Linked DNA regions of Caenorhabditis elegans. The protein of the gene in region 2 purifies or fractionates together with the protein of the main gene of each other region. This does not show direct contact. Each region holds a gene or a part of one and is shown on either strand. Other genes may lie near its edges.

What was found.
Region 1: the proteins of ima-2 (region 2) and rop-1 fractionate together in Caenorhabditis elegans (co-fractionation; one large-scale study listed by BioGRID). This does not show direct contact.

Annotation. Positions count from the first base shown.
Region 1 is NC_003283.11:10,252,227-10,256,997, reverse strand, and holds rop-1 (RNA-binding protein RO60), read left to right. Parts: upstream 1-1,942; 5' UTR 1,943-1,950; coding exon 1,951-2,021; intron 2,022-2,067; coding exon 2,068-2,982; intron 2,983-3,080; coding exon 3,081-3,729; intron 3,730-3,785; coding exon 3,786-4,082; 3' UTR 4,083-4,160; downstream 4,161-4,771. Other genes in the region: nhr-232 (Nuclear Hormone Receptor family), read right to left, coding at 1-274, 316-449, 529-638; Serine/threonine-protein kinase akt-1, read right to left, coding at 4,547-4,726. UniProt on the Caenorhabditis elegans protein: RNA-binding protein that binds to misfolded non-coding RNAs, pre-5S rRNA, and several small cytoplasmic RNA molecules known as Y RNAs.
Region 2 is NC_003279.8:6,313,169-6,317,767, reverse strand, and holds ima-2 (Importin subunit alpha-2), read right to left. Parts: upstream 2,536-4,599; 5' UTR 2,522-2,535; coding exon 2,426-2,521; intron 2,332-2,425; coding exon 1,996-2,331; intron 1,953-1,995; coding exon 1,572-1,952; intron 1,528-1,571; coding exon 950-1,527; intron 904-949; coding exon 699-903; 3' UTR 501-698; downstream 1-500. Other genes in the region: hrpk-1 (Heterogeneous nuclear ribonucleoprotein K homolog), read right to left, coding at 4-51; srg-14 (Serpentine receptor class gamma-14), read right to left, coding at 3,176-3,388, 3,431-3,604, 4,081-4,443. UniProt on the Caenorhabditis elegans protein: Nuclear transport receptor that mediates nuclear import of proteins, and which is involved in sister chromatid cohesion. Binds specifically and directly to substrates containing either a simple or bipartite nuclear localization signals (NLS) motif.

The sequences.
Region 1 (4,771 bases), on a different chromosome or scaffold from region 2:
GTATTCAAATTTCGAATTTCCTCGGAAGGTACGAAATCGTCGAAAACGGATGTAATATTATTAAGAAGTCCAGTGATGTCTAATTTGACAATTGGCTCTCCTTTTTCATCAGTTTGAACTTCATAAGTAACATCCTTCGTCTGAGGAACACATATTTTATGATCTGAATTCACCGGAGAACTTGGGTCGGATGGTGGCTCGTGAGCATCGATTTTCATTTTAGGAGATGGTTTCTTGTTGTAATGAACAGCTGCATCATAATTATATTTGACATCTGGAAAATATTTTAGTTTTTGAAATGTGAAGAACCTGTACTTTCAGGTGTCATTCCATTTGAGAGACACTTTTGGTAACGGCAATATCTGCAGTTAAATCTATCTTCGTTGTTTGTTGTACATTTTTCATTTTTCTGACGGCATGTATACTTCTTTCCAAGTACGGTTGTTCTTCTGAAATATAGGTTAATACTGAAATTTTGATTATACGGATTTTTCATATTTAAATTCCAATTCTATATTTAAAACAAACCGAAAAAATGCTGCACATGCTCGACAAGAAGCAACCCCAAAATGAACACCATGAGCTGGTTCACAACAAATTTTGCATGTCAAAGTAGAAGAAGTGGGCTCTTGGAGCATATTAAATCGAATAAAAAAGAGGTCAGTGAGAGACTAACAGACTATGTGTCTTGTGCTCTTTCTTCAATTGATATGACGATTGTCCCAATTTTGATAAGATACCATGACATGCTCCTTTGATCAATATTGTGATCGGTGTGACAGAGCAAAGAAATCGAATGTTTGTCTTGTGAGATGGGTCAATGTGTTTTCTGTAAATACATTTAAAAGTTCGAAAAGTCGGAGACAAGTGGAACTTGGCAGACGACAGTTTACCCAAAAAAAAATTGGTTCGAATATGAAATATTTGAATCTAACCTTCGTATGTAAAAATGTAGATGACGATTTTTCTCTGGTGTCCCAAAATAATTGCTATTGTTGAATAGGTGCATATGAAATAACTTTTTTTAATTGGAATACTGGTAATTTAATTTTCTAGTGTTATGCCAAATGCAAAGCTTGCGCCAGGTCTTTCTCAGAAAGTGCATCCTTTGTATAACAGAACCCTTCTGCAGAATACAATTTTTCATAATTATTAAATTATTTTTCGCATTCGCGAGCTGGAAAGTTTTCATCAACTCAAATTAATCATTACATGTAATCCGCTAAACTCATTGTATTGTATACAGTATCTAGATATATCTGTATACAGTATTGAATTTAGTAGTTACTGTGTGCAAAACAGTTCATTTGCACGTGAGCGTACGCCAACTCACAGAAAAACCTACTCCTAATTAAAATTAATTTTTTTTATTAATTAAAATTTTAATTTAATTTTTTTTGATATTCTTCGCGTACTTTTTGTAGAAACATTCATAATTATAAAGCCCCACGTTTGAATAAATTGTTCAAATGTTTTATTAATTTTAATTTTTCAATTATTGCCTCTGAACATAACAGAAAACATTTAAATTATCAAATTTAAGCGAATAAATGTTTAATTTAAAAAAAAAACACACGTATGTAATGTTCACAATGTTTAGTATTTCAAAAACTTTCAAAATATTGCTATTTATTTCAAGTAATAACTGACAGCACTTGAACATTTCGAAACATTTCCAAATTTTGTCTCCACCCATCAGTTTCCCTATAAAAATCGTTTGCTTTCCTTTCACTCGTTTTCTCTGACTTCCTCATACTCTCTGTCGTATCTCAAATACGTTCTCGTTTACATTTTCAACTCCATTCTTTCCCACAAACATTCCTTTTCAGTGAATTTTTGATTTTCGTTGCCAAGTTATTCCGCTCTCATGTTAGCAATTTTTGAAACTCTCAACGCCTTTCTCGTCTTCTTCGAAAACATTTCGTAATATTGTTTATTTCAGAACCAATCATGGCTGATGAGTTGAATGAATTCCAAGAGGCTGGAAATTTTAACGAGGAGGCATTGATGAGACTCTCTAAGTAAGTTTTCATCAAAATGAAACGCTATAGAAACGTTTTTTTCCAGCGTCTGCGCCCGACTTCGCCGTATGCAAATGCTGGAATCTGATGTTGAGATTACTGTTGTCGATGGTGAACTCAAGAGAGTTCCTCGTCAAATGGAGAAAGTCAAGGATGGTCAAGTGGAGAATAACGCCGGAGGATTCGTTTTTCCTGTATCTGATGAAACTCAAGTTCGTCGCTTCTTGATCCTCGGTTCTGACAAAGGAAGCTATCATCAGTCGTCTGAAAAGATCACTATAGACAACGCTCAAAGAATCATCAAAATTATTGAGCAGGGTAACGGACATATGGTTTTGAAAGAGCTGGCATTGATCAATGCTGAAAACCGTAATCCAAAGATGAACGCAATGATCTTCACATTGGCAATTTGTGCTCGAATCTCTACTCATGACACAACGAAGAAAACTGAATGTCCAATGCTCAATGCCTACTCAGATTATATCCGAGCTCTTCATGATTCAGCGCTCGATCTTATTCCGGAGGTTTGCCGTACACCAACCCATCTCTTCGAATTCGTTGATTATTGTCAAACAATCTCTGAAAGTACTAAAGCAGGAGGTGCTAAATCTTCAACTGGATGGGGTCGTTCAATGAGAAACGCCATCAGCAAATGGTATACCACAAAGACAACTGAAAAGTTGGCAATGTTGCTCACAAAATACCCACAACGTGAGGGATGGTCTCATCGCGATCTTTTCCGACTTGCTCATCCCAATCTTATGGATAGCCGTTCTCATGGCCAAAGCGAAGATCGTCTTGAAAGAGAGCAATTGTTCCGATTTGCGGTCAAGGGAGATTTAGTGAAAAGAAAGAGAAAGATGTCTGTCGAGGAAGTTGCTGAAGTTGAGAAGGTCTGGGATAAGAAAGCGTTGAAGCTTCCGTACACCGAGGAACAATTAATTAAGGAAGAACAGAGCAGGTCCGATTTTTGACCATTCTCGGTTTTAATTTTATTCTTGAGTATATAGTTATAATTTATTTTTCAATTAAAAATTAATATCAAAGAAACATTTTCAGAGCTCTCAACCTCGTGGAAGCGTACCTCAAGCTCAAAAACGAACAAAGCGAGGAAGTCATCGTAGCAGCTATCAAGAAACATGGACTTGTCCGTGAGCATCTGCCAACTACAAGTCTCAATTCAAAACTTGTATGGGAAACACTTTTCGATGTTTCAATGCCAATGACTGCTATGATTAGAAATCTTGCAAAAATGACCGTTGTGGGCGCCCTTGATGAGAAGAGAGTTGACAATATCGTGAAACGTCTCACTGATCAAGAGGAGCTGCGTCGTTCTCGAATTCATCCAATAAATCTTCTGACTGCCCGTGCTGTCTATGCTCAAGGTCGTGGTGACAAGGGAAGTCTCACTTGGGAGCCAAATCAAAAGATTTGTGACGCCCTTGAAGCTGGCTTCTACAAGGCATTCGTGAATGCACCACCAACTGGAAAACGATACTGCTTGGCTCTCGATGTTTCTGGTAGCATGACCTCTCGTGTCAGTTCGTCACCACTCTCATGCCGTGAAGCTGCTACCGGAATGTCTTTGATCAACCTTCACAATGAAGCCGAAGTTAGATGTGTCGCCTTCTGTGATAAGCTCACTGAGCTTCCGTTTACTAAGGATTGGAAGATCGGACAAGTTAATGACTACGTTAACAACCTTGATGTAAGTTTCATAATGATTTTAATATTGAATTTAATATTAAATTATTGAATTTTCAGTTCGGCAGAACAGATTGTGGCCTTCCAATGACTTGGGCAACAGAAAATAATCTCAAGTTTGATGTCTTCATTATCTACACCGACAACGATACCTGGGCTGGAGAGATTCATCCATTCGAAGCCATCAAAAAGTATCGTGAAGCTTCTGGTATTCATGACGCGAAGGTCATTGTGATGGCAATGCAGGCATATGACTACTCGATTGCCGATCCATCTGATGCTGGTATGCTCGACATTACCGGATTCGATTCGGCTGTACCACAGATTGTTCACGAGTTTGTTACTGGAAAGATCTAATTTATAGTACTGATCTGTTATTTATTTCGCATGTTTCTTTGTTCATATTTTGTCATTCCATAATAAAAATACGAGGATAAAATTCTTTCATTTGGATTGTTGGATATGATATAGGAACATAGTACATCCACGAATGATGGCGCTATTTGGTTTTCACAACCGTAGCTTGTGAGTAATATTACAAAACGATGATGGAATTTTGAAATGGAAAGAACTACGGTCTCAGGTGAATAAAAAGGATAGTATACAAAGGGAAGGAGGCAGAACAGGAAGAGATGAAAACAAAGAGATTTCTCATTTTAATTCGATATTTACTGAGAATAGATCAAAATATAGTCACTGTAACGACTAAATATTTGTTTAAAAAAGGATATCTGAATGTCAGACAAAGGGGTCAGTTTTCTACAGTCTGCAAAACAGGCTAAAATCGCAATTAATTAAATTCAAGCCATTGTGGTGTCAAATTATCCCATATCATAATCTTCGTTGTCTTCACTTGCTTCATGAATTCGATTGATACTTCCCATAACATTGTGGAATGAGAATTGTGTGAAGTTTGATTGCATTTCTTCTTGCTCATCGACTGTAGCAAGGGCTCCGCTTCTACTAGGCGGTGTCAGTTGAACTGGTTGAGATGTGAATTCCTAAAATAAAATCTTTGTTTCTAGTGAAAAAATTTAAAATGTATT
Region 2 (4,599 bases):
TACCTTCGGACTGTCTGTTCCATTAATAGCGGCTCCCACTTTGATCATCATTTTGAGTTTGGATGTACTGCAATTAATGTGTGATTTAACGAATTATATTGAATTTTAATTATTGGAAAAAGCTGAGAAATTTGAAGTAACCGAGAAATAGCTGTGAAGAAGTTTAAAAAACTTTTTTAGGACTATGAGCCGGATCTTGTCAAGTTTTGTTATCCTAACCAAACATTATTGTGACAAATGCTTCAAGTGGAAATTATTTTTCAAATTTCGTGATAAAATCATTAAAATTAACGACAAAAGGCATCATTTCAGTTCAGCCGGAAGAAAAGAAAAAACAAGGGATATTGAGTCCAGATTAAAGGCGCAGACAATTTTCAGATGGGTCCCGCGACGAACACATAGACAAAAACGCGGATGTTCAAATTAGCGAGTGAACAGTTCAACAAAGAAACATGAATGCGTATTGAAAAATACGCGCATCGTTTTCCCGGTTATAAAAATCATATGTTCCACTTTCTTTTCATTCTAAACAAATTGTCAATTTAAAGTGAAGAGATCAGTTAAAACGGGGTCAAATATAAATACGGGTAATACACACAGATGAGGGTAATTCTAAAAAAAACAATCCAATGTTAAATGTGAGAAAGAAGAATGTTACTATGAAATGACTACTAGAATGATGATAAGTGTGAAATAATTTAGAAACTCCATTTGTTATCTTGTGGATCGGCATTCTCATGAGACTCCTTCTCTCCAGCATCATCGTCGGTGAAGAATTGAGTGATGATGCGGTAAGCCTGAGTATAGATCTGCTCCGATTGACTTTCCTGGAGGCGCTCCAAACTGTCAAGTCCACCATTCTCTTCGACTTGGTCGTGAAGAATGTCCACTTTGTGAGGGTAACTGGAATCACATTTTTGAGAGTGCTAATTATCTAATAAAAACATACCCATTCTGAACAGTGAGCATAAGAGTATACAGAGTCTCCAAAGTATTATTCAGCATATCAGTGTTAGTTTGAAGAAGGGCTTGGCACAAAGCAGGCACTACATTGTCTTCAAGCATGGCGACAACTTGACGATTTGTTCCCCCTTGAGCCAAATTAGAAAGAGCCCAAGAAGCCTCGAACTGGCACTTGTGATCTCCCGACTTCAGAACATTGATGAGAACTGGGAGAAGATTTGCGTCGAGGACAGCTTGAATCTGCTTCTGAGTTCCAGCAATAATGTTGGACACCAACCAGCAGCACTCCTTCACAATGCTTGATGATCGCGTCTTTTCCATCAATGGAAGAATTTCATCGAGTGATCCCAAGTCGATAACCGCCTGTGTCAGCGAGTCATTTCCAGTTGCAACATTACCAAGAGTTCGGAGAGCCGGAGCAACAAGGTTTTCAGCTTCTTTGAAGAAAGCGACGACGTGAGGAAGCACACCACTTTCTCGTGCCAATTCGATTTGCTCATCTGGTCCATCAGTCAAATAAGAAACAGCCCAGCATGCGTCTTGACGGACTTGACGGTCCGTGTGCTAAAGTGAAGACGTTAATTGCGATCGAACATTTTGACAATTACCTGAACAAGTTTGACAAGACCTTTCGACAGAACACGAAGAACTTCTAATGGGGCATGTGGATTCTTATGACGGCACATGTTGGAGAATGCCCATGCAATGGTACGAACATGCGAATCTCCCAGTTGATCGACTTTCTCCATCAAATGCATCAACGCCTCCACTCCATGGCATTTAATAACATAATCACGAAGTTGAGATGAGTCTCCAGCAATGTTAGCGACTGCCCACAAAGCTTGCTCCGAGATCTGCGCACTCTGATGAACTGAAAGATGGATCAGTGGAATTGTTACTCCGGCTTCAACAGCTGCAATTGTTTGCTCGGTGGAACCGGAAACGATATTGGTAAGAGCCCAAGCTGCTTCATATTGAACACGCTCGTTCTGAAAATTGGAAATTATTGAATGGAAATAAAGATCGACCTACCTCAACGCTCAATGCCTGAACCAAAGCCTGAAGCAAACCGCAGTGAATGACTTCATCAATAGGTGGATTCTTCGTCTTTGATAGTGATTTTCTCAACGACTCGAAGCATCGAACCATATCATCTTCCGATGGATTGTTGGAGAGAATAGCTCTAATCTCATCATTTGACAAACGGGTTGATGATTGCTGATGAGATATCTTCTCTGGCTCCTCGAGCTCCGATTCCGAATTGCCACCTTCATCGACGTCGACGATGTTACGGCGTTTCATCATCATGTCCGCTCCTTTTTGCTTTCGAATTTCAACACTGCATTCAGTACGACGACGACGGAGCTCCTGAACAGAACAAATAAATAAATCTCGCAATTACTTTAAATAAGTCGGATAGTAACATTTTTGCATGAAATCTGTTATCAATAATTTAACATACTTCATGCTTGGTGAGATTCTTGTACTGTTGAAGGCGGCCTCCCTCATCCTTTCCCTCTTCGGCATTGTGAGACAGGCTGGTTTCGGTGAGAGTCATAGTTAAGCTTCAATCTGGAAGAACTTATGTGAATATTAAACAAAAATAACACTATTAGAAAAAAGTAGGAGTTTCTGATTCGAAAAAGTTCGGAATAAATCACCTCCATACTTTTTAATAATAAATTTCGCAACGAGATAAATGGGAACTAGTTAAACAGAACTAAAATTTCATGAGAATATTACAAATTCAGTTGAAAAGAATGAGTGGTGAAACTATTTAAGAAAGAAAAGGAGGAAACATTGGGCGATGAAAGCAGAAATGAGCGCCGCGGCCCAAAATTGTTATCAAAAAGTGTAACCTTCGCGCCGAAATTCGAAATGTTGAAGCGAATAAGGCGCCAATAAAGAGCGTTGGCGCCAAACTGATTTTTGGCGGTAACTTAAAATCGAATTGTTTGCTTTTAAAAAATCGCATTAATGCGTATTCATGGAATGTTTTTGAGGAAAAGATTTATACTTCCGAAAATATATAGATTTTCTAGCCCTACAAAAATGAAAAATGCAGAAAACACAAACTCCAATATAAATACCACGATATATCTAACCTTAATTGTACAGTAATCTACCGTAGTTCTAAAAACGGTGCAGCATGCATTTCAACATGATTGAATAAAACATACTGTTGAATAAACAATACTTTATTCGAAAAAGTTCAACGAGCAATCACCATTCCGGAAGTTCTAGTTAACATTTTTGACAGTGTCTGATTTTTTCGTTTACTTTTAAAAATGTGAGTTCGAAGATTTCTGCTAACACATATCATTACAATTGGAGAACCAACAGTTAAAAAGTCTAGAGCTAAAAAGCTAAATCCATAAACGGGGCTTGATGCATCAGTGTATGAGAAGAAAAAGCTGTAGTATATCTGAATGTTCTAGATATTTTTTAAAATTCAGAAGTTAATAACCTGAAATAAAACTTTAAAAGTGAACCCAATGGATATGATAACCGTTGCATTAGAGATTGCTTTTTCTATTTCTTTTGATCTTTCTGGAAGTTTTAACAAAGTAATTGCAGTGCATATAAATGTAAATGATAATGCAATAATAATAAAAACAAGTTGAAAACGAGATTGGCTTGCCTGAAACAATAAATATTAAATATAATGTACATATTTAATGTGCTCCCAGCCTCAGTTCTTGTCACGAACAAGTGTGTTGGGTTACTGTACCCGCTTATCTTCTCGTTTTCCCAGAACTTTTCAATATTTCAGAATTAAAAAACGCATAATTCTAGAAATATGATCAACACAAAAAGAGAGAATGACAAATAGAAAGATTGATGATCTATCATTGTTGCGGGTACGGTAGCTGAAAAATTTTACTCGTCTCGGGATCCGAGACTGTTGAACAAAAAGTTCAGTCGAAAGTGTAGTTTTTCGCATGTGAGGTAATATGTCTAATTTGGTATAATCTGGAATCCTTAAAGTCACACTCATTTATTTTGTAAGGGTCTCTCCAGTTCATCTTTTATTTTTCTGTATGTGGTTCATTAAAACAGTTTCTTCAGTTTCTTTTAGTTTTAAAACAAAAAAGAAATGGAAACAGATGAACTTACCCAGCTAACTTTCTTGAAATAGCTAACCCAGAAACCTCCATACGTGGATTGCATGTAAACTCGAGATATAGCAATATTCCAGTCAGCACAAAATGGAATTAAAAAAACTGCACTAATCACATATTTCAAGCTTTTTCTCCATATTGAATCGTGCGTTATTGGAAACAGGACACACGTCATTCGATTTAAAACTAACAAAACTTGTAAAAGGGATTTACAAATTGATACATGATGAGTTAATAACATTATAATCTTAAACCCAACAAGCGGAGATTGAAAGTAATCAGCGAGAACAGGGCATATTGGTGTAAAGTAAATAAAGAAACGAGCAAATAAACCTTCTGTTATAAGAATTGATATGTTCTGAAGAAAGTACGGTGCCCATTTGAAACCTAATGAAACAACAGATTCAAACAGAAAGGTCTTACAGCGAAATAAATTTATAGTAGCACTTGTGACTTTTTCGTTTATACTTTTTCAATTCAAATTAAAATTCTGATACTCACCAGAAAATCAAGT